7 separate regions of the Mus musculus genome follow, and regions 2, 3, 4, 5, 6 and 7 are each reported to be linked to region 1. The links are microRNA targets in miRTarBase. Many come from high-throughput screens and were not tested one by one. Region 1 holds a microRNA gene; each other region holds the end of a gene's coding sequence.

What was found. The annotated mature microRNA mmu-miR-26a-5p reads UUCAAGUAAUCCAGGAUAGGCU and lies in region 1 at 2,894-2,915, opposite strand. An mRNA with a match to its seed (bases 2 to 7 or 8) in the 3' UTR can be bound and repressed. Matches are read on the target gene's strand: a 7mer-m8 pairs with bases 2 to 8, a 7mer-A1 pairs with bases 2 to 7 and ends in A, and an 8mer does both.
Region 2: the mRNA of Septin2 is a reported target of mmu-miR-26a-5p. Seed matches in the 3' UTR shown: 7mer-A1 at 2,192-2,198.
Region 3: miRTarBase lists Akap9 as a target of mmu-miR-26a-5p. The part of its 3' UTR that is shown has no 7-base or 8-base seed match.
Region 4: miRTarBase lists Scamp3 as a target of mmu-miR-26a-5p. The part of its 3' UTR that is shown has no 7-base or 8-base seed match.
Region 5: the mRNA of Mllt11 is a reported target of mmu-miR-26a-5p. Seed matches in the 3' UTR shown: 7mer-m8 at 959-965.
Region 6: miRTarBase lists Megf9 as a target of mmu-miR-26a-5p. Seed matches in the 3' UTR shown: 7mer-A1 at 3,638-3,644.
Region 7: the mRNA of Lonrf3 is a reported target of mmu-miR-26a-5p. Seed matches in the 3' UTR shown: 7mer-m8 at 2,831-2,837.

Annotation. Positions count from the first base shown.
Region 1 is chr9:119,030,365-119,034,725 of GRCm38, reverse strand. Mir26a-1 (microRNA 26a-1) reads right to left here and starts at 2,930; the gene lies at 2,841-2,930. Ctdspl (CTD (carboxy-terminal domain, RNA polymerase II, polypeptide A) small phosphatase-like) reads right to left here. Exons shown (of 8, transcript NM_133710.3): 6 at 1,098-1,190.
Region 2 is chr1:93,506,615-93,510,975 of GRCm38, forward strand. It overlaps Septin2 (septin 2), which reads left to right. Exons shown (of 13, transcript NM_010891.2): 12 at 349-468; 13 at 1,099-3,119. The coding sequence ends at 450. Among named protein-coding and RNA genes, the nearest start is that of Farp2, 3.3 kb to the right of the region's middle.
Region 3 is chr5:4,078,650-4,083,010 of GRCm38, reverse strand. Akap9 (A kinase (PRKA) anchor protein (yotiao) 9) reads right to left here. Exons shown (of 48, transcript NM_194462.2): 48 at 2,807-3,352. The coding sequence ends at 3,315. Cyp51 (cytochrome P450, family 51) reads left to right here. Exons shown (of 10, transcript NM_020010.2): 10 at 1-2,337. Among named protein-coding and RNA genes, the nearest start is that of Gm40260, 3.6 kb to the right of the region's middle.
Region 4 is chr3:89,181,909-89,186,269 of GRCm38, reverse strand. Scamp3 (secretory carrier membrane protein 3) reads right to left here. Exons shown (of 9, transcript NM_011886.3): 8 at 4,227-4,344; 9 at 3,500-3,971. The coding sequence ends at 3,825. Gm45927 (predicted gene, 45927) reads right to left here. Exons shown (of 19, transcript NM_001310017.1): 18 at 4,227-4,344; 19 at 3,500-3,971. The coding sequence ends at 3,825. It overlaps Fam189b (family with sequence similarity 189, member B), which reads right to left and starts at 3,127. Exons shown (of 12, transcript NM_001014995.2): 1 at 2,322-3,127; 2 at 2,062-2,118; 3 at 1,747-1,857; 4 at 1,521-1,640; 5 at 1,274-1,381; 6 at 661-836; 7 at 437-536. The coding sequence starts at 2,546. Gm16069 (a long non-coding RNA gene) reads left to right here and starts at 1,843. Exons shown (of 3, transcript XR_003954659.1): 1 at 1,843-2,253; 2 at 3,293-4,361.
Region 5 is chr3:95,216,367-95,220,727 of GRCm38, reverse strand. Mllt11 (myeloid/lymphoid or mixed-lineage leukemia; translocated to, 11) reads left to right here. Exons shown (of 2, transcript NM_019914.4): 2 at 265-2,184. The coding sequence starts at 271. The coding sequence ends at 543. It overlaps Gabpb2 (GA repeat binding protein, beta 2), which reads left to right and starts at 2,786. Exons shown (of 10, transcript NM_029885.1): 1 at 2,786-3,139. Gm16740 (predicted gene, 16740) reads right to left here and starts at 3,271. Exons shown (of 4, transcript NR_108026.1): 1 at 2,670-3,271; 2 at 1,179-1,289.
Region 6 is chr4:70,429,242-70,433,602 of GRCm38, forward strand. It overlaps Megf9 (multiple EGF-like-domains 9), which reads right to left. Exons shown (of 6, transcript NM_172694.2): 6 at 2,686-4,290. The coding sequence ends at 3,839. Among named protein-coding and RNA genes, the nearest start is that of Cdk5rap2, 21 kb to the left of the region's middle.
Region 7 is chrX:36,361,480-36,365,840 of GRCm38, reverse strand. Lonrf3 (LON peptidase N-terminal domain and ring finger 3) reads right to left here. Exons shown (of 11, transcript NM_028894.1): 11 at 1-4,077. The coding sequence ends at 3,922. It overlaps LOC115489189 (a small nuclear RNA gene), which reads right to left and starts at 1,942; the gene lies at 1,839-1,942.

The sequences.
Region 1 (4,361 bases):
AATGTGTGGCTCTTGCCTTGGTCAGCATAGAGTATAGACCCAGCCAGGAATGCCCCAGCCAGCAGAGTGGGGCTGAAGACCTGGGGTCGAAGATCCAACAGGCAGATGAGGATGGGTGCTATCCCAGGCAGGCCGTGGGGGAGGGAGCTGCTAGTGGCTCCCGGAATTCTGCACACCACAGATCTCATCTCTGGGGCCACTCAGAGTTTTCCAGGTACCCATGAAGACCCAGGTGCCTCTGCTAAGTGGATTGACTGACTCTGCGAGAGTCACGGTCGGCACAGAAAGGATTTGGGAGAGCGAGCTAGGGTCTACTCCGCCTGCTTTCAACTCACCTGTGAAGCCTGTCTGGATGCTATTGGTGCTTATGATGGTAAATACTGAACATCAGGAGTGTTTACCCTGCGACAGTGTCCATGGCAGTGCCCAGAGAACAGTGAGGGCTCAATGAACGTCTGCTTGATGGGAATCTGGGGCTGTGCTGAGCCGTTCACATGGGCCATTTCATTTAATGAACTCTAACAGGCAGATGGAATTATCCCCAATTAGACAAGAAGAAACCAATGTGCCAGAGGTAAAGGAATTTACCAGAAACCATTCAGCTCCCAAGGCTATCAGAACTCCCAACATTCTGTGCCTGCCAGTGACACTTGACACCTGCCTCTTAACTTGTTCCTCCCTGAAACCTGTGGCCATCAAACACGGGGACACAGGGACTCTAAAATCTGGCTGCTCTTCAATGCGTGAGGGAGACTCCCCCACACCTGCATCCATCCACAGTCACAATGGACGGGTCTTGTGGTTTTGTCTGTGGATAACTGGTTTCAGGTGGCTGCATAAAGCAACTTCATGGAGCATTTGTTCCAAATGCTCCCAGTCACCATGGTAACCAGAAACCTCTCAGCCTAGCAGTGTGCACATGGCCTGCATCTATCGCATCTGGGGTGGGAACCTGTCACCGTAAAAATAGCTTCCTCCACCTTAACAAAGGGCTCTTGGCAGCTTGGGGGGTGTGGTGGAGGGTGGAGAGGTTGGGATGACGGCTGGGAACAGGACGCAGGATGCAGGACACAGGATGCAGGACGAAAAGGACGCACCTTGGCCAAGCTGGCAGTAAAGAGCACACACTCAAAGAGCTGCCCCATCCTCTGGAGGAACTCGTCCACGTGAGGTCGCTTCAGCACATACACCTGCGGTGGGAGGAGACAAGAGCTGTCAGTCATAGCATCCAGGGACAGCGTGGGCCTTGGAAGAACTGCCAAGGGGCCCTTCTCCTGTTGCCAGGCCTATGTACGATTTACTGAAGCTTGCACTAGGTTCTGCGTCTCAACCCTTGTAGAGAGAAAGGAAAGCCGACCACGTCGTCAAGGTTCTTGAGTATCTTCGGAGCCAGTAAGCAGAGCACAGCTGTGCCATGTCCAGTCGCAGTTGCTCATGCATCCACTTGGCACTTGCTGAGTCAGCCCCTATGTGGCCACAGGCCACAGCCTAGGTGCTGTCCTTCTGGAAGTCTAGGACTAGCTGCGGCCTCCAACTCTGAACATCCCTGCCCCCTGGGGTTAATGCACTTGAAAACTTTCTAGTGGACACCATGGAGGTCACCCTGCTTGTGTAGGGGTACAGAAAGCACTTCACATGGGTAAGGGGCTGCTTCCCACAGTTGGGCTCTGTGTATCCTTCTGATCAGACCAGACAGGCCTGCGAAGCAGCTGGTTTCACCTAACACCCAGGCTGCAGTCTCTGGAGGCTAAAGGAATGTGTAGGAACTGGAAGAGAGAAAGCAAAGCCAGGGAGAGGCAGTGGGCAGAGGGAGGGACCAATTAAAACTTGAGTAAATTCCACTAGAAGTTAGCTACATCTTTAAAATAAAACATAATTACCAGGTCTCAGCGCTGTGCTCAGTTCAGCTACAAGGCTGAATTGGAGCCCCCAATCCTCTGGAGACTCGTGTGGTGGGCCTTGCCGGCTCAGCTCACTCAGTCTTGAGCACACACTGACAGAAATTAGTGAACACAAGAAATCTCACAGTGGGGTATTCATTCAAGATAATTCTCCCTTCCAGAGGGCGTCTCAGAAAGCAACATCTGGCCTTGACCTTGAATAAAGAGGAGCTCACACGCTGAGAGAGAGAGAGAGCTGAGCCTCCAACCCGAGCAAAGTGTGAACGTGAGGATCGGAAGCGTCACAACACTTGGGTTTGTGTTGGGCCAAAGCCTGTGTCCACAGCCAACCATAGGCAGTGAGAGAAGCCCTGGAGGCTGCTCAGGGAGGAAGCAGTTAAGGTAAAGAGCTAAAGGTAGCAGTAAGCCACAGGGCCTCTAAGGGCAGACAGAGCAGGGGAGGGGGCTGCGGAAAGGGAGAGGAGACACAAGACTGCACCCCATGCAAGGAAAACACACTGCAGGACAGACTTCCTAGATGGAAACACTGCTTTGCAGCATGCCAGGAAAAGGCGCTTCCTAGGGCAAAGACCTGGAGAGAAAGCGGCTGGCTAGCTTTAGGAGTGGGTTGGGGGTCTGGCTCTGCAGCTGAGGGTGGAGAGAGGGGCCAGAGGAATATAGGTGGTCTATCCTGGGTGCCACCAGGATCCTGCTGAGCTGGGGTGTTGGGCTAGGCTGAGGGCAGAGCTGTGTGGCTGTAGCAGCTGCAGGACCTGCTTTGCTCATAACACTCGTTGTTGCTGGTGCCAGTGACTGGGTGTGGCCTCCGGTCCTGAGTCTCCGGGAGGACTGCTTGGCCAGCAAGCTTGGCTACAGGCAAAGGGTTGGAGATGGACGGGGGAAACTCTGTTGTTGCCGCCTTTAGCAGAAAGGAGGTTCCTGGGCCCAGATGCCGGCGTCCAGGCCCGCGTCCCCGTGCAAGTAACCAAGAATAGGCCCCTTGGGACCTGCACAGCCTATCCTGGATTACTTGAACGAGGCCACGGCCTTCGCCAGGGCCTCGGTCCTCCAGCTTTTGTACCTTCCTTCTCTCTGGAGTTTCTGCTCCCAGCCCTGATGCCCGGGGTGTCTACTGCCAAAGAGAAGGGGCAAGGGAAGCCGGGGTGGGTCCTGCACTCCGGACGTGCTTGTGGCCACGTGGTGTGAAGAATTATTTTCTTGGGCAGTCCTCCTGAGCCTCACCTCAAGGACTCTTCGACTTTAGACACAACAACCAGCGCAGAGGTCCTAACTGCATGGCGGGGGTGGAGTTAATTCAGTTGGTGCTTTGTGAATGGTAAGTGACCAGGTGCCTGAAACCTTCCCAGGTCCTATGTCCTGTAGGACAGGATAGAGAGCTAGGTGGGGGTAAGGGAGACAGGGGGAACCAAGTCTAAGGAAAGAGCCCTGGCTTAGGAGTCAGGAAATCTTATCCTGATGATTGTCATATATAACCTTCTGTCTGGGCAACGGAATGGCTAAAACAGCTGATTTCACAGCCCTGGATTGTTCTAAACTGCACTCAAGAGTTAAGGAGCCTTATTGGCATCGTTAAGAAATGACATCCTGTGTGGCCCAGGAACCAGGAAATGTCTGTCCCTTCCTGGGATATGAGGCCAGATACTCTCCCCTTAAGGCCTTGAGTTTGATGGGGGAGACAGTCTGTCCCATCACTCCTAAGAAACATGTGGCAAAACTATATCTACCTTAACCTCCAAGGCGAGCTTTTCTACCATGTTTCTAATGTATTCATAGACGAAGTCATTTCCAGAAGAGCTTGCTGATGACGAAGAAAAAATAAAGAAGAAGCAACTCCCCCAAACAAACAAACAAACAAACAACCCCAAAACAGAAAACCCCAAAAACCGGAAGAAGATTGATGCCAGCTGACGATGACAATTTATGCACAGCACCCTGCTGGTCTTAACACACCCTTCCCCTTTGCTCTGGGTTGAGTATTTGCTAAAAAAGACACTGGAGAAAACCACATGGGCAGAGAAGCTCTCACGGGAGCAGTTGGCATCAAAGTGGACATTTTTCCCAAGAATGCTCCGTCAGTGGGTGACTGGTGGCATTTTCCTGTTGCTAGGAGAAGCCAAAAGCAAATGCATGATGAAGTTGACCAGATGTCAAACCCGGCCAGCGGTGGGGACAACTAGGGGATTGCACAAAGGCTCCTAAAAGTTGAAATCAAATCAGAGATCATACCTAATATTTATTAACAGAAAAGGGTCCTCATAAACACGGTAAAAAGCAAATGCATGCATGAGGCAGAGAATCATTCACAGTATTTTTATTTAGCTTTTGAGACAGGGTTTCTCTGTGTAGCCCTGGCTGTACAAGGACTCGCTTTGTGGACCAGGCTGTCCTCAGACTCAAGAGATCTGCCTGCCTCTGCCTCCATGCCTGGCTTACTATACTTATTATACAAAGTTTGTTTCC
Region 2 (4,361 bases), not on the chromosome of region 1:
AGCTAGTGATAATATGTCTCAAAAATAATAAAAAATTAATAAGGGAAAAGTTTTGTTTTCATAGCTAAGACCTTGTTGCTGAGCAGAAAAGATGATTCATCCTTTGTGTTCTCCAAAGGGTAATAGCAGGCTTTCTTTTTGCCTCATTGTCTTACTAGTCTTTAGTGATTCTGTTTATTGATAACTTCTGTCTCATTTGAATCATAAATTTTGTCATTTACATGGGTTTTTTTATAGTTGATTCTTTTATATTGGTTTATAAGGTTTATTTGAACATGTGTTTGAGAAAAGCAATGGAAACTAATGCATGACAACACCAACGTTGTATCTGACATGTACTGTTCATAGCTCCGCCGCATGCAAGAGATGATTGCAAGAATGCAAGCGCAGATGCAGATGCAGATGCAGGGTGGTGACAGTGACAGCGGGGCTCTCGGGCAGCATGTGTGAGGCCGAGCTTTCATATTGGTAAGTGGGGAGGGAGGGCGGGCTCACTGCCAGCTCAGCCATGACTGTGACTCCCCTATGACTATGGGCTCCTCTCTCTCAAGTCCGCTGCTGTTAGCTGTGTTAGTAACCTTTCATTGAAAAGCAGAAACTAGTCTCTGCTGCCACCTACTGTCTAGTAAAGATATTCTTATTTTCTAATGTTACAATATAGTTTATGGTAAAGAAAAAATTAAATATGTTAAAGAAAAATTAAAATTTTTATTAGTAATAGTGTTGGAAACTCTTTAATATTGGAAACATCTTTAAAAAGAACTTTCTTAATTTATTAAAGTCTTCTGCAGATGAAAAAAAATAGTAAAGGTGCCAGAAAGAGGAACCAGTGCCATTAGATAAGGGCCACCTAGGTGTAGACCTCTAGGCCTCTCAGGCAACCGTGCTGTGACCATTGAAAATTGGCGTGTCACTCAGATTTGTGATCTGATGTAATTCTGAGCACTGTTTTACAGTATCTGTCAGTTTCCACAAACCTCATAAAGGCATCTTGATTTAGTTCAGTTTATGCCCTTTGTTCTGCAGAGGGAGGATTGCCAGTGCTGTAAGAAACAAATGCATCACTTCCATTTAAATTGTTTTGTTTTTACTTTCCAGGAAACACTTTGGATAAGAAAGACTTCCTGATAAGTGCTACAGCATCAAGGTTCTTAGCCCTGTGGAAGGAAGGGCACCCATCCACAATGAAGCACCTGTGTCTGAGGATTTCAGTTGGTTGTTTTTTGTTTTTTGTTTGGTTGGGGTTTTTTTTTTTTTTTTTTTTTCTTTTTTAACATTTGGTGGTTTTTGTTTTTACTCTTTTTTTCTTTTCCTTCTTTTTCTGCCCTCAACCCCCCAACTCCTTTGGTATGAAGTACTTTTAACATTTATATTTCATTGTTACACTTTAAATTTTGTAAGGAAAACTCTGATATTTTATTCCTCCTGAACCACTAATGTTAGAATTTATTTCTAAGAATCAGTCAACATGTATACTCTTAATAGTGAATTTCTATGATATAGCTGGCCTGACTAATCACTGACAAGTACTCTTTGATTTCTATCTAGACATTTTTATGCTCAGAATGTTCCTGTGTGGTGGACATTGATGTACCTGTGACAGAAGTGGTTGTGCATACTTGGTGGCAAATTATTTGCTTACTAGAATTGAAGTCACATTGTTAACTTTATATTTGTACAGAACACCTAAAACCAATTTTGCTGCTGTAGTTCATTCGGCTTATTCATCTGCACAATTATCTGTTAACCAGGTAGAACAGAAGAGAGTTATCTAATGAGATACATGTTTATACTTAAATAGCTTTTAAAAAGCAGGATTTCAGGGTTGAATTTTAAGAGCTCTGGATTCTAGTGCCAGATCATTTTCAAACCTCTGTAGAGAAAGCTCACTACAAGGACTTTTTATACTGTGGATGCTGATTATGCTATGCTGTGGAGAGAACCAAAGCAGCTATGAGCTCCAGCTTCATATTGTAACAAGACTCTTTATAAGGAAGAGTCAGTAAACTTTTTACTCAACTAAAAAGGCAATACTTTTTTAAAGAAACCAAAATGTTTATATTTTATACTGCACTTTAATGTACTTTCTATAACTAGGTGCAAAAGGTCATAGCAGTGGAAATCATAGTCCTTGGCTGGCATGGATCCAACCCCAGGCTTGTGATTGGGTGGTGCTCTTGAACAAAAGGCCACTTGAAGCCCAGATGCCTGCCAGGTTTTCGTCTAACTCTTCCCCTTTTCAGTGATCCTTCTATTGAAAGGAAAATAGCAGTGCTGGGTTTTTTATGTGCAGACTGTCTCATCTGTTTCCAGGCACTGTCATTTTCTTCAGTGTGTGTAGTATAAATGTCTTCACACCATGAACGAAAGGCTTTTCAGATCTGTGCCCCAAGCAGGCAAGCAGAGTCCTGCCTGGTTTATATTCTGGCACTTCCCTCTTCTACCCTGTCTTCTAATGTCAGGCAGTGACCTTAGAAGGGAAGGGGCAGGTGAAGGAGGCAGTGGTGTGGAGAAGCAAAGCAGGTGCTAACTGTGTGCTTTCATTTGCTGCAGGAGGAAGGACTTGATTGATGATGAGGCAGGGATTTACGTTTAATTCAGTCCAAAACTCAGTAGTACTAATAAGATGAAGCTTAAGCATGGTTGTTTATAAATTTAATGAGGAAAAATACATTTGCTCGCTTTGCCTCTTCACATTGCATCACTGTGAGTGATCAGGGAAGTTCATTGTGTGAAGTTCCTATCAAGAAAAGCGTCAATGACTTTAGAGTACCCATGCAGTCCTTTGTTTGGCTTATTTTGACATTAAGTTTGTTGGAGAAAAATTTAAAAACAAAAAAATGAAAGAATTCCCAAGTATTCGGTGTGAGTCCCATGTTTTTGAGTTAAGGTGCTACTTCGGGTCAGCTGACATCTAATATTGGCAGTGTGGATTGTGAGGTCTTGCAGCCACAATTCTAACCCCCTTCAGTTTTACTGCTTTTGCTAACAGATACTTGCTCTTTCACTAAGAAGTAACTTGTACTTGTAGAAATGTATTTTGAAAACATTTCACACTTCAACTTTGTATCCATTTAAATTAACCTTTTTCAATAAAGCACTATTGTTTAGATATTAAATGAGTAGTCCTCTTTTTGAGTAAAGTATGCGGGCCATTGTGAAGATTCAAGACCCCTATTACAACTGTATATCAGAGCAAGATGTTACTTGTATTAATAGCAGGCGTGCTGCGTATATTTTCATCAGAGATAACCCAGATACTCCAAAAGAAATCCTATAGCTGTACAGGTTATCAGATTGTCTGCAGACTACTTGATAAAATGGACAGTAAGACTTCATAGGTAAATTTACTAATTAGAAAATGAAGCAACAACTGTTAAACATAGTGGGAAGTAAAAGTGATCCAAATATATTTCTAATTCTCCATATTTGTAAGAAGAGAGATGAATTAGGAAAACAGTCTTAATTTTTAAAATGTTTGTTTATGTATTGGTTGGAGTTTTTTTTGTGTTTGAGGCAGACTCACTTTTGTAGCCTGGCTAACCTGGAACTCTTTATGTAAATCAGGTTGGTCTCCAACTCAAAGAAATCTACTATCTCTCTCTTTGCCTCTGGAGTGCTGAGATTAAAGATGTATACCACCATGCTCAGATTTTTACGTTTTTCTACCTTTTTATTGTATGTGTATGAGTATTTTGCCTGCCTGCATGTCTTTGTACCATGTGTATGCCTGTCACCCAAGGAGGCTAGAAGAGGAGGGTGTCAGGTCCCCTGGAACTGGACTTAGAGACCGTTGTGAGCAGCCATGTGGGTGCCAGGAACTGGATTTGTGTGTTGTGGAAGAGCAGCCCTTAACAGCTAAATCATCTCCCCAGCCCAGGAAAGTGACTTTAAAAATCTGAATTTGCTCTGGTGAGATGCCTTAGTGGCTAAGAGTACTTGCCTCATAACGTGATCAAACCTGAGTTTGATCTCAGGACTCATAAAGGGAGCAGAGCCACATAACCCCAAACTTTATCCTAATCTGGGTGGATGATCAATCTCTTCGGCCTGGCCTCACTCCGGTTTGTCAGCATGACCCCTGGATTGACCACCCAGTACTATCGGAGTCTTTCTCATCCTCTTGCTCTCTAAGCAGCGTACTGACACTAGGAAATGAGGCTCCTGCTCTCTAAATCACTAGGTTGCTCATGTCAAACCTCATTCTTGCCTTGTCCAGTCCAGCTCCTTTTCTTTTTTTTTTTTTTTTTGGTTTTTCAAGACAGGGTTTCTCTGTATAGCCCTGGCTGTCCTGGAACTCACTTTGTAGACCAGGCTGGCCTCCAACTCAGAAATCCGCCTGCCTCTGCCTCCCAAGTGCT
Region 3 (4,361 bases), not on the chromosome of region 1:
CAGTTTATGATTTTAATGTTTTATTAACTCGGTGATTTTTGTCAGACCGAATGGCATTTGAAACAGTTTATAGTAGTTTTGATAGGATTTCAGGGAAGCCAAGTTTATGTTAGAAATCATTTGGGGGGGTGTGTCTTGGAATTAAGAAGATATAGAATGCAGCATCCAGGTAATTAACTCCACACATTGCCACAGGGAGATTTGGAACTGGTGTTTGAAGTTTCAAAGCCTTGTCAAATGCTACAAAGGTAATGGGGTCGTGTAGTTGGGCCACTTCTGTGCGTAAAGATATGAAAGGATAAAGGTTAAGTTTACTGCGAAGCTTGAGGTGGAAGTAAACGCTACTTAGATGGTGTGGTGTGTCCTTTGAAATGTTAACTGGAGCACCGCTCCTGGAAGATGGCAGCGATCTTGAACCTTGCCTTGATAACCTTAATTCCTAAAAGTAATAAAATCTAAAGAGTGCTTATGTATGTTACTGGTCCCAAATGGTCACAGTTTTGTGAAAAATCCAAAATCAAATCCTTGTAAGACTTTTTTATTTTAATTTGGCTTAAGGTTTTTTGTTGTTGTTGGGAAGTTTAAATTTACCAGGCTTTTAAAAGTGTCTGATTTTGAGATTAGTGAGTTCTGGCCTTGAGACTGGGGAATGGGAGATGGTATCATTGCCCGTATTCTGTGCTCAGGAGACAACCTAACAGATTGTAACCACGGACCCAACTCTGTGACATGCCCTTAATCTGTGTTAGGAGTAAGAATAGCTCTGTTGCTGGAGTGGTGCTGCACACCTGTAATGCTGTTATTCAGGACCTGCGGCAGGATTGAGAATTTGAGGCCAACCTAGGCTACGGAGCAAGACTAACACACTCCCCAAAATAAAACCTCTTTTCTCTAAAAGTATGTGTACTGGCTGGTCTTAGGCACTTGACACAAGCTAGGGTCATCAGAGAGAAAAGGAAGCCTCAGTTGAGGAAATGCCTCCATGAGATCCAGCTGTAAGGCATTTTCTTAATAAGTGATCAATGGGAGAGGCTCCAGCCCACTGTGGTGGTTCCATCCCTACGCTAGTGATCCTATGAAAGGCTGACCGTGACATGAGGAGCAAAACAGTAAGCAGCACTCATTTATGGCCTCTGCATCAGCTCCTGCCTCCAGGTTCCTGACCTGCTTGAGTTCCTGTCCTCACTTGATGATAAACAGTGATATGGAAGTGTAAGCCAAATAACCCACCTTCACCCTCGGGATTTGCTTTTTGGTCATGGTGTTTCCTTGTAGCAAGAGGAACTGAAACTCCGTTACAGTTTTAAGAGGCTTTTGAAGACTCCCAGTGAAGGCCTAAATCTCTGCTGTTAAAGGCTCCACATTAAAATTCTCTGAGAAAGTTTTACTGGTTTGTATTCATGAATTTGAACTTGTGCTTCAGTAAGTACAGTTCATGAAATCTGGGCATATGGAAGCTTACATCCTATTTGCCTGAAATAGGTTCCTTTTAGTATTATCTTTGGTTATTTAGGTAAGTCACTCTTGTTATCAATGCCCCATGAGAAATCAGGTATTTTCATAACAAGTTACAAAAGTTGCTCACCTCTCAAAAGTGTGCTTGTCTCTTACTGAGTGGTTGTTAGACTTTTAGGTCATAGATGTTACATTTGACGTGTTAGGTTAAAACCTTGATTAAAGTTTGAAGACTGTTTGTTTCTAAGTAACAGATTTTCTTTGCCAGTGTAGATGTTTTGTGTTTATTATTCCTAGAGGGGTTCTAGACTTTGATCAAGTCCCTCCTTTTACTGTGTGGTTGTTAAGACTTTTAAGTCATAGACGTGTTAGGTTAAAACCTTGATTAAAGTTTGATGATTGTTTCTAAGTAACAGATTTTCTTTGCCAATGTAGATGTTTTGTCTTTATTATTCCTAGAGGGGTTCTAGACTTTGATCAGATTGGTAGATTCCTGGCAGAGTTGTGACTTGAGTAAGGCTGTCCTGTTTACTGTCTAGTTTTAGACTTTGACATATTTTCAGTGCTGAGATTTAAAAGGGCTCAAGCACTAGAATTCCAGATTGAGATACTGACCACAGACGAGCTATTAAGTTATTGTGAACAACACAGCAGAGGCTGAGGGCCATAGGGTGTTAGTAGGGTAGACTAGCAGTAGGGTAGATTGGCTGGCAAGCACCTGTCCATCTGCCTTTTCCCGACTGAACTGTCTTGACTTGGCAACTGTATTAGTTTTTTAAAGAGTTTAATGCACAACTTTCCTGCTCAACTAGTTGCTTTAGAATAGTTTTGATATTTTTAGAAAGCCTAGTTGAAATTTGGGAAATAAAATTAGAAATTCCCAGCAATGCACAGCTTTGTGATTGTCTTCATGTAGTGCAGAGACCATTAATAGTGAAACACTCTTTTCCAGATGTAAACCAATACCACAGCTATTTTAGTCAGTGCAGTGCTAGTAGGGAGCCCTCTGGAGAACAGTATTCTCTCTGAGACTTTTCCAATTAGAATTTGGCTGGCTTAGCAGGACGCTTCCTGATTTTTGCTACACTCTTATGGATACAATTTAATATTGAGAGCTGATTTCTGCGTCTAGATTTGTAAGTCTCTTTGGACATAAGAACACGAAATGTAATAAAACATGGACTAATCATAAACACCAGTGCCACCTTAGTGTTGAAAACAGGCACATTAAGAATGTTCTTTAATGAAGGCAGAGCAAAACCACACTTTGGATCCTGAGCTGAGACAAGTAACAAGATGATAGGGACCACGAGTTGTGGCTTAGTGAAAAATCAAGAAGGTTCAACTACAGTAAGGTGAAAATGGTGAGGTCTTTTTATTTCAGTACTTGACAAAATACCCATAAAGTTCAAAACTTTGACCATTATACAAAAATAGGTCTCTACAAGTGATATGTTGTCTTCATCACCAGTAGCAAATATATTAAGCAGAAACATGTAACTTCAGTAGCTTTGTAAGAAAAGCGCAGGGCACCGCAAGGTACTCGTCCAGCAGCACTGTCATTTGAAAAAGTTTAATCTTTTCACCCACCTGATAAATACACAAAGTTTATAATTTAATCACTTAAATTAGCATTCCACAAATATACATGTAATTTAATGATTACTGTGCATGAACACACACACATTGCTTATATACACAAACTCCAGTTTGTCTTCATGTGCTGCTGCTAAGGATTTGTATACAATCATAAGCTGTGCATGTATTGGTCCCATCGAATATTCACAATACAAAAGCACAAAAGAGCCATTGATTTACAAAAGGGAATCTATTTAATATTCAATTAATGTTTCAACGGATTATCTCCTCATGCCAAAGTGAAATTGAGTAGTGGACCCTGTAAAATAGAAAACAAAGCAATTAGACTTTGCCTATATAATGGCATCCAGCTGACATGGGCAGATGGATCTGTTTAACACCATCTCAAAATGTTGGGGGCCCGTGACATTTTTCAGTGGTCAAGGTGCTGCCAAGCCCAACAATCTCTGAGTTTGATTCCTGGAACCCACATAGTGGAAGGAAAACCAATATGCAAATTTTCTCATTGCTACAGCATGGTTGTGCACACACATACACAAATGAAACCTGAAGGTAAATGAAACCTGAAGGTAAAACTTATTTTTTAAGTAATAATGTATGGTGTGTGTGTGTGTGTGTGTACGTACACATGTTTGTGTGAGTGCAGCACAGAATGCCCTAATTCACTGGATCCTGTAGAGATGGAGGTACAGGCAGTTATGAGCTGCCTGAGACGCAGTGTTGGGAACCACAAGTAGGTCTCTAGACAACAGTTTGTTGTTTCTCACCCAAAGCCATCTTCAGCCCTCAGCTTAACTATAGCTCCAAGAGGCTGACTATATTTAGAGGTTACCTTGACTGCCCTATAGCAAGGGAAGCGAGAGAGAATGCTGATGTATTTCATGAGCACTCTTAAGGTTGCTTGAATGAAAAGCTAAACTACCTCTAAACAACTGCAGTCGGCAGTATGTGGTATTAAAAAGAGTCCTTAAAAATGACCAGGGACTGACGAGATGGTTAGGTTAGAAGCACTCTAGAGGATCTGGGGCCCAGCAACCACATGGTAGCTCACAATCATCTATAGGACTCCAGTCCTTTTCTGGCCTTTGTAGGCATCAGCCATGCATGTGGTACACAGACACACATGGACAGAAAACATCATACATACAGAATAACTAAAAACAAGCCAGCAAATAAAAACAAATCCATCAAAGCGGATGGCTAGCCCAGTAGCTTAAACTAAAATGATAGCCTTTGGGCCAGTAGTGAGTGAATGAAGGCAGAGAACTTTTCCTATGATGAATGAAATCTACCTCTACAATAACATA
Region 4 (4,361 bases), not on the chromosome of region 1:
AGGCACACCAGAAGAGGGTGTCAGATCTCATTACAGGTGAGCCACCATGTGGTTGCTGGGATTTGAACTCAGGACCTTTGGAAGAGCAGTCAGTGCTCTTACCCACTGAGCCATCTCGCCAGCCCCCAACTACACATCTTTAAAAGAGAAATATTAGCCGGGTATGGTGGCGCACACCTTTAATCCCCGCAGGCAGGCGGATTTCTGAGTTCGAGGCCAGCCTGGTCTACAGAGTGAGTTCCAGGACAGCCAGGGCTACACAAAGAAACCCTGTCTCAAAAAACAACAACAACAACAAAAAAGAGAAATACTAGTTCATCTCCCACCCACCTCAGCAGCTCTAGGGCAGATCAAAGATGCCAGCAGGCTGGTATCCTTGCAAGCAGCCGTCTTGGCTCCATGCACTGCTCCCAGCTACACCAAGCTCTTTCCTCACCTGGCTGTCTCTTCGCAGCCCCATGACGGCCTCGTAAGAAGGGGGGCAGTCAGTAGGATACAAGGGCACTGGGCTATCCATGGAGCCATTATACGTGATGCTGGCAGGATGAGGGAGAGGATCAGGGTCTGGAAACTAACTCCTACTCCACAGCTATGCCTCCCAGCAATCCAGTCCCTCCCCCCAGCAGCCCCTTGCTCCCCCACCCCCACCTCCAGCCTTACCTTTGTGCATCTGTCTCTGAACTGCAGGTGTACTCTGGAGGGTAGTAGGGTGGTGGGGGCACAGGCGGGACAAATTCCTCCAAGTCCAGCATGGTGTGTAGGAGAGGAGCTGGAGGCGAGGATGTACACGCCAGGGGCCCTAGGGGGCCTGAGACTGACCGTTCAGGGGCAAGCTGCTAGAGAGCAAGCCTGGTTTCAAATTTCTTCCCTTTCTGCTATTTTTATGGCCCTACTTCCACCAAGAAGATCCAGTTCCACCCTTCCTCAGCCACACCCAGCTTCTTCATCCTGCCTCACGCTGAACCTCCAGCTCTGGCTTTGTCCACCCATATATCTCTCCTTTTCTAGCTTCACATCTATCCATAATTGTCACCTGTTCCCTGTCACCATACAACTACCCATCCTTTATCCCCTCCTCATCCTAGGACCTTCCAGATTCCACCCCATCCAGTCTTCCTCACTCTCCCTTCAGCACTCAACATCCCCGAAATAAATATCCTCAGGTCACCTGTAGCTATGCCTGGCAGGCCCAGGCCCAGCACACACACACACACATACACACAAACCCAGCTCCCACCACCCCTGTCTGCTTGGGCCTTGGCTCCCTTCTTACCATATGCACCAGATCCAGGGAGAAGATCTGGACACAGCAGACAATAGCAGAGAGGGTACAGATTATTGCAGCACAAATGGTAAGGCCACAGACACTGAAGAGCAGGTTCTGGAGAAGATAAAGGAGAAGAGTAAGGGGCCCGGGACAGAAAAACCTTACACACTTGAGCCTTTGAAAACTCCAGGAGGGGAGCAAAGGAGACCCAAAATAAGAGTGTAGGGGGAAGGGCTGGGGAGGGCTTCTTCACCTTGAGGGCCCCTCTGGCTTCATCACAGGTGGAGTTGAGGGCAACTTTCAGCTCCTGGCCCCATTCTGGGCAAGGTCTGTGTAGGGGGATAGGTGGGCAGCATACACAGACCTTCCCTTCCTGTGTGGGAGTGCAAAGGGCAAGGCAGCCCGGGTCAGAGCAAACTCACGGCTTCCTCCCATCTCTCCTAACCCCTTCCTTCCAGGTTTCCCTCCTCAAATCTCACCATGGAGCACTCTCGGAAGTCCCGAGCCAGCTGAGCATTCTTACAGGAGAGAACAGAGCCAGCCATGCTAAGCATGACACAGAGCACCGAAAGCAAGGAGAAGAAAGAGATCTGAGGGAAAGAAGGTGGCATCTCAGGGCTGGGACCTTCAGCAGCATCCCTCTTCCACAGAATGAGCCACCCTCTTCTCAGACAGCTTCTGCTAGCCTTATACCAACTGGAAAGCTCCTGGGAGGCATAACGGGGGGGGGGGGGGTAAATCCCCTTCGCTGCTGGGCACCTGCTTCCTAGTGGGCATCGGGCCTTGGCACCTACCACTAGAGTGAATGGCCGCTTCCAGGACACAATGCCAACCAACCCGGAGAACGCCAGCTAGGGACAGAGTGGGCACAGGCTCAGCTTGGCAGGGGAAGCACCTAAGTGAGCCCCTTGCCACAGGATGCACCCAGCCCTGCAAGGAGGGAGAGGACTGGGAGAAGAAGGAAAGACAACCATGTGGGCTTGCAGGTGAGGAGGGATGGGGCCTAAGAAGCTTCCCCCACCCCAGTACTATATACTCTTTGGACCCCACTCACCGAGAACCCAGCCCAAGATGGGCAGGACCTCTTGATGCTCTCGGTGGTGGTGACAGAGGAGGCCACCATGCTGAAGGTTATCACCAGGATGCCCAAGAGCACCTGGGCCAGCCCCAACGTGAGCAGGGCCTGGAGCCAGGGTCGGTGGAGGCGGAGGTGGGTAAGGCCCCGGGTACTGGGCCGGCTGGTCAGCGAGCGACTGGAGTCACTGGGCGAGGGCATCATGCCTGCCGCCCAGTTGCTCGCACCTCGCTCGGTCCCCCTTGATACTTGTGAGCATCTCAGAAGCACCCAAGCCCTGGTTCTTTATCCTTTCCACAGCCCTCGCTGTAAAGCCCACCTCCTGGCTAGGTCCTCTGGGGCATCGCCCAGGGACGCCAGCTGGAAGGAGGCCCAAAGGAGGGGCGTCACGAAGGGACAGTGAGGGGCTCCCTCCCCACCACCAAACGGGTACCGTGCCCGGGGAGGCGATGAGGACGCGAGGGCACCGGTTCATTGCATTTCCTTAATGAAGAGGGGTGCCGAGAAGGGCTGATCCCAGACTGAAGAGTAGCGTTCCGGAACCCAGGCAAGGGTGGGGAGGGCAAAAGCGAGAGGGATGCAAACAAGTCTACAGAGAGGGGGAAGGTCTGCATGCAGGAACTAGAGGTGCGTTTGGCCATTCAGGGCCGCCTGGTGGGGAGAGGCCGTGGAAACTGTCTCCAGAGTCGCAGACCCGCTCCCCTCCCCACCATGCTCGGCTTCCTTAGCTCCTCCAGCTGCAGCAGGTCAGCCTGTGGAGGTGGGGGATGGTGGATGGTGCGTGGTGCGGAGGAGGGGTGTGGTGGGTGGTGCAATGCATCCCGGGAGCTGTAGTCTGAAAGCAACCCTGGGGAAGGGAGGAGATAGGGAGAGGCCCTCCTCCATCCCTAGCCTCGCCCTGAAGCCTGAGCAGTTAAGGATCATTTCTGGGTCCATTTTCTGCCCCACAGGTTCCCGGGATGAGGTGTTCACACCAAAAGGGACTGACTGCTCATTCATCATTAACAGAGGCATGGTAAACCGAGCTGGGGCTCCCCCATCTCCCGCCTATCAGCCTGCCCACTTTGCCAAGTGCAACCCTCTCCTTGCAGAGTGTTTCCACCCCAGTTCCCCACTCCATACAATGGCCCAATCTCCAGTAAAGATACAGGAAATGGGTGAGTTCCAGTTACACTTTTTTTTCTTTAATTTAAATAACGGAAGAAGACATCCTTGGCACAGCAGAAGGAAACTGGGGTTGGGGTTGTGTGAGAGGTGGCGGCAGCAGTGTGGCCAGATGGGAGATAAAAGGCAAATAATGACTGAGTCACAGCGGGCTCTCCACACCTCAAGTCAGGATTAAAGTCATGGCTGTGGAATGAAGAGCCCCATAGAAGTCACCAAGTGGTGATGGCTCCCTGAATCCCAGAGACTTCAGGGATAGGGACTATCTTGGTTCCCACAGGTGACAGGCCCAGGGCATCCCAGCGGGTGCAGCAGGGGTCAAGGGGCCCTGAAGGCATTTTCAGCAGCTCCGGCAGCTGCATTGGCAGCAGCAGTTCGAACCGCAGGGTTGGAGAAGACACCAGCAGCAAATTCTTGCTGGGCCTTCTGAAAGCTGGCACCCGTTTGGCGGTACAGGGAGTGGATCTGCAAGAGGGAAGAGATTATAAGGGAGGCAGGCCCCTCCCATCCCAGGAGGATGGCACCACTCACTAGTCTCCTGCTTTGTACCGTTCCTTCTGCGTTGGCACTCCCTCCAAACACACAAACTCACCCACCCAAGAAAGTCCATTAGTTGATAACCCACCCGCCCTGCCCCATTTCCTTAATGTTCCACTCAGCAGCCCCTAGGGACCCAATGATCTCACTCCCCAGCCCCACCTTCTCCCGACCGGCCCTCACCCGCTTCAGCATCACGATTCCCAGCACTGCGATGCCGGTGAAGAGCAGGGCGACGAGCAGCATGAGCACCGCCACGGCAGGTTTGGATCCCACCACCACCAGAGCAGTCACCCAGCCGCTGTGGGAAGATGCACG
Region 5 (4,361 bases), not on the chromosome of region 1:
CCTAGTGTGCATAAGGCCTGAGGTATATTACTAGAGCTAAAATTAGAGCCAAGAAGAACCTTGTGCAGTAGGCAGTCTGGTCAGCCAGAGGTGGGGAGAAGGTAGGAGCCTGGTGGTAAATAGCAAAAGAGTTCTTGATATTCGTCTTAGAAAACCTGACTGATTCACTAGAGCACACAGAAAAGAACAACTTAAGCAAGGGAAAGCACGGGGCAAGGAGCTTGCTCTATCGTGGAGACTAACACGTGATTTGCTCTTCCTCAGGGGATCATGAGGGACCCTGTAAGTAGCCAGTACAGCTCCTTTCTTTTCTGGAGGATGCCCATCCCAGAACTGGATCTGTCGGAGCTGGAAGGCCTGGGCCTGTCAGATACACCTACCTACGAGAGCAAGGATAGCAGCAGCGTTGGCAAAATGAACGGGCAGGCATCTGGGACGGAGCAGAAGAACCCTGAAGGTGACCCCCTCCTTGAGTACAGCACCTTCAACTTCTGGAGAGCGCCTATTGCCAGCATCCACTCTGTCGACCTGGACTTGCTTTAAGGCCAAGATCTCTCTCCCACCCCGTACCTTCATTATCTTCCCTCTTAAGTCCCTTCCTCTCTAAGCCTTCCACTTTAATCTTGTTCTCTTCCCTCTATTGTGCTGGTGGTGCTGATGAATCTGCCAATTGAATTGTAGGTTTGTATGTATGTACGTACTTATTTATCTATCTATATTTATTTATTTATTTATTTATCTGCCTACTCCGTTTCTCTCAAAAGCCCTCTAGGCACAAAGTCAAGGGTTTAATCAATGGAGTACTAGATCATAGGATTTCCTCCCGTCAGCCCGGAGAATATTAACTAATCCCAGAAAAGAATCACCCTTATTTGAGGCACCACAGAGAGGTACAGTTGTGCAAAATGGGAGACCAATTATTTTGTTTGTTTGTTACATTTTAATCAACTTCAAAGATTACTTGAGCCTCCCTAATGTCCTCTACCAGGCCAGTAAGCAAATACTGCTTCAAGAAGTAATGAGAACCTGGAAGTTTTGAGACACTTTCTACAAAACAGGATTTCTAAAAGGCTAAGATAAGAAATGCTGCTGCTGCTTACAATGCATTCTCTTCCCCAGAAACACGCAGGCAGTTAAAGGTGGGAAACAAAGGAGTGGGATGAGGAAAAACATCGCACCGTTTCAGAGGTAGCTCCTTTAATATCCAGCTCTGCTTCCAGCTGTGGGTAGAAATGCTCAGAAAATCAGATTTGAGTCTTCACAGGGAAACTTCACTATGAGGATAATTCCTAAAAGACAAAAGATGTATCTGATCTAAAGAAACACCAGAGTATTATTAGGGGAATTTATATAAAATTGTGATTTTGTCATGGAACAGGCAGATGTTTTGGTCCTAAGTATTTTAGCTTTGCCTTTCTGTAGTTGCAGTATGTGATAGGAATCAGTGATTCCTGACACAGTTCTTTGGCCGCCATAAGACCGTGAAGTAAGCAGTTATGTTCAGACCCTACCCGTCCCCATTCCTTCCAAAGCTATTGCAGATGAATTGCGGAGCTGTTTATTCATTTATGGAATAAAGACGTTAAATCCTAAGTCTGGGGCTTAGTTTTTTCCATTCCAATGAAGTACTACAGATTTTACTCACACTTCCGAATCCAGCTTTCCCTTTTATCTTTTTTTCTTTCTTTTTTTTTTTAAGTGAAGCTTTTCTTTTTATTTTAAAAAGATTTACTATACTATATATGAGTACACTGTTGCACTCTTCAGACACACCAGAAGAGGGCATTGGGTCCCATTACAAGTGAGCCAACATGTGGTTGGTGGGGATTGAACTCAGGACCTCTGGAAGAGCAGTCAGTGCTCTTAACCACTGAGTCATCTCTCCAGCGCTTCCTTCTGTCTGTCTAATATTTGACTTTGAAGAACAATTTAGGATTTGGACATAGCTCAATGGTAGAAGGGCTTGCCAAGCATCTACAAGGCCCTGCTAGGGTTCCCCTGTAAGCAGCCAGTGCTCAGAGATTAGCCACGCCCCCCAGCCCATTATTAACTTTTAAATTTGTGTGGTTTTCTTCGGAGGCGGGCCTTGAACTCAGAGAAATCCACCTGACTCTGCTGGACTCTGCTAGGGTGGGCCTAGCACTTTGGTATTAAATTAGGAGACCTGTGCCTCCTGCTGTGATCAAAGGCGTGTTTGTTATTATTACTGATTTTAATTTTTAGTGTGCATTGGTGTTTTGCCTAAATGTATGCTTGCTTGTGTGAGGGTGTCAGATCTTGGAGTTAAAGGCAGTTGTAAGCTGCAATGTGGGTGCTGGGAATTGAACTGGGGTCTCCTAAGGCATTGCTCCAGCGTCCTGTTATTGATTTTTGAAAGGTTTTCTCCGAGCTTTCTCTCGGTCCTTATATCAGTTAAAATGGTGAACAGAAACCAAGATAGACTGGTAAATGAAAGACATGCAATTTCATGTCCCATCCTATTCTAGTCTTCCCCCCAAAAGTTCAGGGGTTCTTTCCTGACCTATATTCAGGACACTGGGAAAGTGTCCGGTCAGACAGGAGTGCATAACCAGAAGGTCCCGAATAGCGGAAGCAAGATTCTCCCCCAACCCTCAAGTTAGCCCGGCGTTGAACCAGCAGGAAGGTAGAGTGCGGACGCCAACACGCACCAGTAACCAGTTCCTCCGAGCGCTGCACTGGTTGGCGCCAAAACTACCATCTGCGTCCGTCCCCTGCCGGAACTATCCCTCACGTAAGCCACGTAATCGGTGATCCTGCGCCTCGCTAAGTAGTCCCGCTCAGGATGCCCGCGGTATACGTTTTTCCAGCTCACGAGGTCCTCAGTAGGAAGGAGTCGGACTCAGAGGTGCGTTGAGGTCCTGAGAGAAGGGCAAAGTGGCTCCGCTAACCCATTTCCTTCAGATTCCTCCGCCAGGACGTATAGTCACAGCGCCTTCACTTCCGGGTCCGCCATTTTATTGCCTCCATTTCTCCGTGAGGGGGGGTAAGGGCCCCCCCAAATATGCATATGTGAAAAGGCCGAAAAGTGAGGCCGCTGGCAAGGAGTCTTAACTAGAGAAAGAAACGGGACCAAACTGGCGGGCCCAGTGAGAGCGAAGCCGGCAGCGCTCCGGAATAGGTGAGGGGGAAAGGACACGCAGGGTTCCGGAGCTTCCGAACTGCGATGCAAGGGGCAGTGATAAGTGGCCGGCCCAGCCCGGCCAGGACCTGTGGGCGCCGGCCTGCACACTGCCGGAGCGGGGGTGGCGGCGGGGGGGAGAGGGACCAAGAGGAAGGGGATGCTGTCGGGAGGAAGGGGAGGGGACTGGGAGGTGAAGGGGGTGGGTGGAAGACCTGGGGCTGGGGAGCTGGACTCCGGGAAGCCAAGGCCACATGGGGTGACCACGAGGGGGCGGTGTGGCGCAGGAGTCCGGGCTGCCACTACAGACTGGGGCTCCCACTTGCAAGTTGGCGCCCCTGAGTTTGGCAGAGTGCTGATGTCAAAAACTGAGGGATATGTGACTAGGGAGGAAGTGGGAACTGGACTTTTCAAGGTCCAGTAATAACGTGAAACTTTAGTAAGTTCATAATGTGAACAAGAGCAGTCATGGACTTATATCCAGTTCTCAACACAGATGCTTGTACAGCTGGCCTCCCAGTGGGAATGTGTGGGGGGTGAGGGGGGGGAGAAAAAGAAAAAAAAGTACAGACCGAGAATTCTTCAATTGCTTTCTTTCTTAGCGTGCACCTCTTGTCACAGATTTCCTCCAGGAATTCTGCTGTCTCCCTCTTCCTATAAAGGATTTTCTCTAGTTTCCAATCCAATATTTGGGTCTTACTATGTAGTTTGGATTGGCTGCCTCACAGCGATTCTCTAACCTTAGCCCCTGGAGTGTTGGAATTACTGAGGTGAGCCATGTTTTTTGTACATGCTTTGCAAAGAACAAACCACCACACCCAAATGATAAACAAAAGTTATTATTCTTTGGTAATGGGCTGCTTTGTCAAGTGCTCAGGCACTCCATGGTTATTAAAATATTTATTGAAAGTTCTGAACACTAAGTACTCAGTGCTTGAGAAGAGGAGAGAGAAAGATCCAGGTGTTCAAGGCCAGCCTGTGCTACTTGACCCAGAAAGGTCTCCTGGTCTTGTTTTGTATTTTATTGGCTTCCTATTCCTAGGAGGCAGGGTTGGGAGTATAGCTCAGAGGCAAGTGTGAATGTAGCATGCCTGTGGCCCTGGATTCAACTCCTAGCACAGAGGGACTAGGAAGAGAATTTAGAAAAATCTTAGGATACACACTAGACAAACGCTCATGTGAAGTTTATGTGGATGCATATCCAGTAAGGGAGAACAGTTCC
Region 6 (4,361 bases), not on the chromosome of region 1:
TAATGATCCACAATCTTTAGCCATTCAATATTATTTGACTTCTTCAGGTTAATCACCATGTTCCTGCTGCTTAGCCATTTGCTCAGAGTGATAGCAAAAGACAAATTAACCGTCTGTCACCTTCCCCAGCTCTACAACACAGACAGACACCAAACCTCTTAAGTCCTAAACCATTTGCTGTCAAAAGTACCAACAGACTAAAGGTATTTATTTATTTATTCATTTATTTATTTGTGTATGGATTAGGTCACAACTTCTGTTGTCCTAATGATTTCACTGAATTCTTTTAACTTATTCTGAATATGAATATTTTGTCAGAGAGCTTTCCTTGAAAGATGCAGAAACCCACCTCCTACCCACACACCACTTCAAACTACACCAAGTCAGAGAGAATCATCAGAATTACTTTTATGTTTATAAACATAAAAAAAGCAGAGGACCAGGGTGAATGGTGAATAATAAAGCTCTAACTGACTCTTATTCTAAACCACAACATCTTGATGATCAGATAACTCAAATTAACTGGTAGACCAGTGAGTATTGCTTTGATGACTAATGATTCTGGAAATATTGGGACTAGGGAAAAGTAATATAATTTGGGATTTAGATAGTCTTGTTAAAAGAAAAAAATGAAACAATAACAACTAAAAACCAAATCAAAACAACAATAAAAACCTACCCTCCCAGCCCATGTCTGTCCTGTTGCTCTCCCTTAAAATCTAAGTATCCCTGGGAAAAATAATGTACTGGGTCCACACCATGTTCATATAAATAAGAGATTTTAATTATCATTTTGCTTTCTCTGGAGAGACTGTAAATAGGAGAGTCCTTGGAGGCAATGTAGGGGATGGTGGTGGTAAGGGAACAAAGGCATGGTTGACAAGTACAACATCCACCTTCAGAAATGCACAGGACTTAATCAGGGGAGCTATTGAAGGCGCAAGCATTAGTTCCTTCCTAGCACTGACATCCATTTCTCATTAAGGTCATGTATGTAGTATATTTTAAAAACAACATTTTCTTTATGCTTAGACAAAAATTGTTCCAGCATCGGGCTTTGCAGAGGACTCGTGGCATTGGGTGATAATGTCTCCAGAGGAATGAAAACCCAGCAGCATGTTTTATTCTGGTTTCCTACTCTACTTTCAAGGAGAGATCACCTCATGGTTGATCTTTACAACAAAATAATTTGTATAAGCAGAGCAACGGGGTCACTAAATGATGTTATTTACAACACATTTTAAGGCTATAGCTTTTTTCATTGTGAAAAACATGATTTAGGAGCAATTAACAGGTACTTGATAAATTTGTGGTTTAGTTTCTGTGTTATCTCTTAAGATCTGTATCATGGAATCTCTATTTAGCTGGAATCTCGACTGTTTACTTTGGCTCTTAAACTCATATAAACATTTATTTATTGTGTGAACTGTTTAACAAACGTTTGGCTTTTATCTCCTTTCCACTTATTTTGGCAGGAGATGGGGTATCTGGGAGGCAGCCATTGTGCTCAGCACTTTGGAACTCTGTGATGTATAGTCAATACACACCTGTGCTGCAACTGCTAGGAAAAGTCTCTCTGCTCCCCTCCCCAATTCAGGAATTCATTCATTTTAATGAACTGGCAGCTTTACCTTCTCGTCATTAATCTTGTCTTTAGGTAGAAATCCATGTGTGTTCTTTCAACAAAGTCCTTAGTATCTATGTGGCCCTGAATTGTGCCTGTGAGTTACATACTTCCCCTACCCCAATATATACACATGGTATGGCGGGGTGGGGGGGGGGGTAGTATTCTAGAGAGCATACAAGGGCTCTATTAGAAGCATCCACAAATGGGAATTTCCATTCCAGTCTTCTAGGGCCCATGGCTAGTAGATTTATATGTATCACATAGCAAAATGACAATGAAGTAGAGGTGAGAACTGATTCCAGGAATAATAATGATGATGTGCATGGTATAGCGCTGAACAACTTAGACTCTCTGTGCCTCAGTTACTTCATCTATGAAATGAGCACAAGACTACTTCCTAAGGAGGCTAGGGTGAGGATCAAAGAACACATGGAAAGGTGTTTTTTAAATGACAAAGGGCAAAATATTATTAATATATTTTGTAATTCTAAGGATTAAACTCATAGACTCATATGCTAGGCAATCAGTCACTTGTAAATTGTTTTAGTACAATGAGATGTAATGTCTACCTTTATAAAGACAGCCAAAAATGCAGAGCACACCCAGGTTACCTATGGATCCTCTAGTATACAGTCATTTCTAAACCCTGAGAAAAAGGTGAGGTCTCCTACAAAGGATGACCAACGTCTTTATTTTTCTGAGGAAGTAAGAAAAGGAGTCTGAGCTTCCTAGGTCTACTCTGTTTTGTTTTCCCCTACTTCATAGTCTGAGTCACTTTTCTTGGCTCTCAATCTACAACCTATGGATGCATAACAAATGAAAGCAGCAGTACTTGGCCTCAGGGAAAATGGCATCAAAAAGCAAGGACTAAATACACACCCATAGTGACCCTCTGCCCAGATATGAAGATGGATGAACTCCAGCACTGAAGAAGCCAAACAGTCCTCATGGTGCATGGGTGACAGGTTATGCTCAAATGTCAGAGGCCTTTATTTTGGCAGATATGGGAGGCACATAAATATTTTATGGGCATAAAAACAAGAACCCCGAAGTGATGTGATGGCTTTTCTTTTTAATTTAAATTTTCTGTCCTTTGGAAGACTGTCTTTTACATTCAGGAAAGAAGTCTTTTCCTGAGGAGTTTACACTGAGCAGTGTAAAACAGAGTGGCTAATTAGGTGTGTCTGGAGAATGCAGCCTGTGTTCCAGTTTCGCAATTGCAGACTTCAAAATCTATTGCTTGAATCTATGGTAAGTCAAAGAGCATATGACTCTAGGTTGAGAGAGGAAAGATTAGAAACATTTGACCTCTTATCAATTTCAACAGTGTCCAAATAGGGACTAAAATGACTGATGCTCACCAGAGTCCCAGCTCTAGCAATATTGTCACCTATTTTACAGTATTTTAACCAAGTTCCCATATCTTCTTTTTACAACACCATTAACTGCTATACAGATAAAGTCTAGATGATAAAATAGGACATGATTTTTTACAAATAGATACAAGTACAATGTTGACCAGATAATGCTACATTAATTATGTACACCTTGTTTCTTTAGAGGCAGGAACCTCTTTGAGGAGACCATCAGCTTTCTGCTCTCTGCCTGCTGTGCCTACCCTCACCATGGAAGCTTATCCTGTGCTTTAACTCCATTTTTGAAGGAGACTCTTAGAAGGAAAGCCAAGCCCTTCTACAGAACTTCTTGGCACCTTTCTTAGTCTACACACAACCAAGATTTTTTTTATTAGCCTAGATATCATCTCTTCCTAAGTTACATCTCTTAGTACAGTAAAATGAACACAATCCCTGCCTCTCTTTTATAAAATATGTTTCCAAAGTGGAGATGAATTCTTCCATCAGTCTTTCCCCTCCACATCAACATTCTATCACATCTGGTGAGGTGAACACTTTCCGAGCAGTCCTTTGAGAGGCCAGGTAGACTTAGGCTGCTCTGTGGGATTCAGCCTTTCCATATATACATGTGGTTTGCTACAAAAATATACTTTACTTCAAGTCCTCGATGATGAGTGCTTCAGATCTTCATGGGGGAATTAAGAGCAACAGACAGGCTAAGCGCACTACAGTTTGTACCTGAACATTTGCACAATACCTTTCTCAACAAACTCTACCTAGGCTCTGTGCAGCCAGAGGTCAGGTGCTGTTTAAGTGAGCACTGTTTTCTGACAATCCAGGAGGACAACTCAGCTTCTCAGGCTTTGTAGTTATGAATAGGTGTTGTCAGGGTCAGCTGCCCATTGGGAGCCACTTCATTGGCATCGTCCTCTAACAATCCCGACACATCTGCATTGGGGATGCTGTCATGGTAGCTGCTGAAACTGATATTGTCTTCTTTCAGCTCGATGGTCCAAAAGGGAGCATTGAGTTTCCGATTTTGGTACTCTCGGTACATGTACACAGCTCCTACAAATCCCATTAGCAGCACTACCACAATGATGATGACTGTCAAAATGATGATGTTAAACTGGGTCCATGATACATCAGCAAGAGCTGAGGTGCTGTTTTCAGAAGAGCTTACTGCAAAGATAGTCTGCAGGGTTGTGGGGGCAAAAGTACTATTTATAACAGGGGTGGGCACTGATGTGGTCAAAGAGGCATTGGAAACCAAAATGGTAGAACCTTCAGGAGTTGGAACAATAACTTCTGAAAATAAAAACAGAGAATGAAATGTAAAAGACAAAATTATCTAGTTTTGAGAAACAATAAAAGAAATA
Region 7 (4,361 bases), not on the chromosome of region 1:
ACAGGGGTGCAGTGACCCAGCCATAGGAGTTCTGAGGCTTCTGTGGCTACTCACAGGGGATTATCTGAACCCAGGGCAGCTCCACAGGCAGAGGTGGCAGTGCCACGTGCGCCATCACAACTCAATCCCGCTACTGAGGCAGCACGGAACTCGAAGCACGTGGCCTTCAGAAAAGGCATGCTATTGGAATAGTTCTCTGCTCCCCTAAATGAGGAGCAAGCATCTTTTTTTTTTCTTAAAATTATCCACTGCAAAGTAGTTTCTTCAGTTTTCACTTTCTACATTTTGCTGGTTTTTAGCTAGCAGCAATAGTACGGTACAAAGCAGAAAGGCATAAAGTCTGCTTGCTACCTAGGGTCTCTTTGTGTGTGTGCACACATGAACACACACACACACACACACACACACAGACAAGAGAGAGAGAGAGAATAATCTACAAGGTCTGGGTCAGTCATGAATTCAAGATAGAAAGAAAGACTAACCCAATAAAGTGGCACTGTCTACAAGGAGGACTCTTATCCTTCCAACTCAGATATAGTTTTTATCTCTGTACGTCTCATGTCTGAGCTTAGAAACAGAACCTATCCACAGGTGTTAAAAGTGGTCAAGTTCGATGGATTAGCCCACTTATGTACATCCCAAAGAAAGTCAAAGCCTAGTATCCTGCCGTTACTATAATTGCTGGAGAACAACCCAATCTAGATCCAGGCTCAGAGGAAAGTGCTATTTAGCCTAGCAAAGATCTCCATCTGTTCTTGGGTATTCTCTTATCAAAGGAATTGTATCAAGAAGCCAAAAATCCACTTTCCCCCTGGATTAGTAAGAGATGTGTTGGACGGCTTCATTTGACTTCACCTGGAACTCCTCATTTTGAGCTCTTAGGGGTTTTGCCATGCCTACTGAGTGAAACATACATAACACAAAATGTTCAAACATCTGTCACATTGTTGGTACAGAATCAAGCTTGGCCACTCACTGAACATGTTACATAGGCATATTCTTTAAAATTGTCCATTCTGTTTTCTTACCTATGTTTTCTTATCTATATATCTAATGATGCTGTTTAAAAGGTTATTTCATGTGTTCAGGTAAGGGAGATCGAGATCACTCACTCAGTTTAGTACCTGGTACATGGTAGGTTTTCAGTACATCATTGTAGAGCCTGTTATTTGGGGCAGCAGAAAGAAATACTATTGGCTGTGTGCAAACTCCATAGATGGTGAAATCTAATTGTTCTGAAATCTAATTGTTCTAGTTGAGATTCTCAATATATGAAAAAGAGGGAGAGATGGTTTTGGTTATTCTTATGGAACCAGAACTTAAGGCTCCCATTTTATCAAGAACTCTAGATGTCCCCCAATACGACACTATTTTTTAGCCCTAATTAAAATGGGAACAGTTTTCTTGGCATAGAAATTAGTCCCTACAACTAACCCTCATTTTCTCTCCAGTATTTTAATTTTCCCTACATTTATTTTATTTTTTACAGAACTGGAGAGAGAATCAGCGCCCCATGCCATGTCAGCAACTGAGATGTATCCCCAGCTCTACTTTGCTGGCCTTAACTCCAATAGGAGTCACTTGCAAACTATCAAGTTGTGGTCCAAGAATCAGTGGTTTGGATTTACAGTAGGGTACAAATGAGAATTACAAGTAAAAGCAATGCTTCATGCAACTGTAGACCACTGATGATATTCTGCAACATGGCTGATAATAGTTATAGTTCACCAAATAGCTCCCAACATCAAGGTACTGTTAAGTAATTTCTTACATGTCCCGTTTAATGTTCCTAGCAAGCCTATATACTATTAATATCACTACAATTTCATCTTTTAGTAAAATATATAGAACACTATCCAAATTTGCCTACAATCCTTGTGAAGGGGCCATGCTAATCTCTGTTTCATTCTAATTTTAGTATATGTACTGCTGATGTGAGCACAAGTACCATTTCATATATATAAGAAAACTGGGACTCAACGGAAGCTAAATTACTTGCCAAAGTAACATATGTCGTAAGTGGAGAAGCTTCTGCTCTTCTTTGTTGTGTTTGCACTATAGAATAGGAAGCAGTCATACTAGGACTTCACTATAATCACATGGCTGGCTGGGTATCAGGTGCCAGGGAAAAATCCTCTTAATGTCCTGCTTTCCGAGCCCTCTAGACTTAACTTGGATAGTATCTACTTCTTTATTTACATTCCCTACACTTGCATCATTCTTCACCAGCCCAGATTATTCCAAACAGACCTGGCAATGCTCTGACAACACCGCCTCCATCAAGCAAGTTGTCAGTGATAAGTTGCTTTCTGCTTCCATGAGTCTCTTTTATAGCATTTAGAGACCATCTCTCTCACACACACAAGCCCCACCTCTTCCATGTTTCTGGTGGTTATAGAAGAACCTAGACTGATCCTTGAAGCAATCTCTCTCCTTCTTCGAACCCCCTCTCTTGTTAACAGAATGGAGAGCCTACACGTGAATAACACACCATAGTTGTCCAAAATCACCTGGGAGTAGTTTGCATGAGAAACAAAATCTGACAATTCACTTTTCCTAACTCTCATTTTCTCCTCTGCCACTATAACACTCCCACACTCCATTTTTCAGGTTTCTCTGACACCGAAGGACTCAGACTAGCACTAAGCTCAGAAACTTACTCCCATCTCTTCACTGTCTTTTCTCCCCCTGCATTGAAATCTTTGGCCCATCTTTACCAGGAGGGAAGGCAGTGTTTACATAAAACCATGGATTCATTCTCTGGATCTTTTATAGTAATTTAAAAGGGGTTCTAACCTATCCAGTTTCTTCACACTTTAAGAACAGTCTCTCAAGTATTCCAGCACACATTGGTACAGGTTTTAAACTTCAGAACTCAGAAGATAGGGGAGAGGCACGCCAAATTGAAAGCCATCCCCTCTGAAAATACAGGTAAATATTAATCTCTTCCCTAACTGCACTGGGGAGAAATTAATACTTTTCTAATTAGATTGCCTGAAATAAATACCTATAGTAGTAGACTGTAATAAAAAGACACCTGTAATTCATCTCTCTGATCTTGAATATGTCTTTCAACCTTATTCTGTATTACACATGGAAAATGGATTCTTTTACTTTACTTTGGTATATCCCACAATTTATGCCAAATCAATTAAGCATTTTTCTAGTCCTTAAATTAAACTGAAAATGTGGAATCTGTGAAGATGAATTACTTTAGAATTCTTCTGAAGTTCTTTTAAACTTAGTCCACTAGAATAGACCTGAACTATGTATATATAAAAGCCCAACAAGAACTGGGATTAATTCAACAAAAACTGAGTAAAGAAAGAACATTGCACATGGTTAGTACTGTTATCCTCCCTACAGAGTAAGCCACATCAATAAATAAAGCAATGGACTTTTCAGTAATGTACACTTAAATAGTTACAAACATATATGTAGAAAAACGACGCAGTAGTGCAAAAAATAAATTATTAAAACAGAAAGAAGTATGAACATTATTTTTTACAATGCTTTATAAAACCTGAACCATTTGAAATGAGACCTCAAGTCAGTGAAAGAATGCAGTAACATTAGTATCTCTGCTTGACATTTCAACCACACACTCATTTAGCTATGAACAACAACTCACTTTTTTAACTTCAGAAAAATTGATGCTAAACATCAACTCTTTTTGACTTCTTCACACTTCTGCTATTTGTGTGTTAGTATAGTGTTTCAAGAAGCATTTGAAGACAGTAAGTCAAACAGGTCACATCCTTTTGGTCTTTCTACCTCATTTCTGTGTGGTCAAAAAGAATAACAACATCTATCTAGGGTACTCTCTTCTGTTAAGGTGTTATTGCAATTAGATATGTTTACAAGAACATTGCCTCGGGGCAGTGGAGAGGGTAGAAATTCCTCTTCCACAATCCAGTCCCTTTAATTTTGGTTTCTCGATATAAAGGCCAGGATACGCCGAATACCATTCAATCTGTCCTTTAAGGACCTCATTGCTAGGAAGGGAAGCTGAGCTCTGCTTTCCAGAGGAAGAACCGCCAGTGTCCACCAGCACCAGGCTGGACCATTCGGATTAACCTGCAACAGAGAAACACAGTTCATGGATCCCATGTAGTCCATGTATAGAAGTCCACATGCATACAGTAAAGTATCACACATGGAACTGCTTCTGTGTGTGGCACACATTGCTGAGAGGCATTGTTTTCCTCTTTTATTTCAGCTAAGCATACATGGTGGCAGGGGATGAGGAAAACTGTTACTTCTCAGGCATCTTTGCAGCTAGGTGAGGCCATAAGGTCAAATTTTGGCTAAAAACAAAGAGAGGTGATACATCTAAGTTCCCATCATTTTATGGGAAAAGA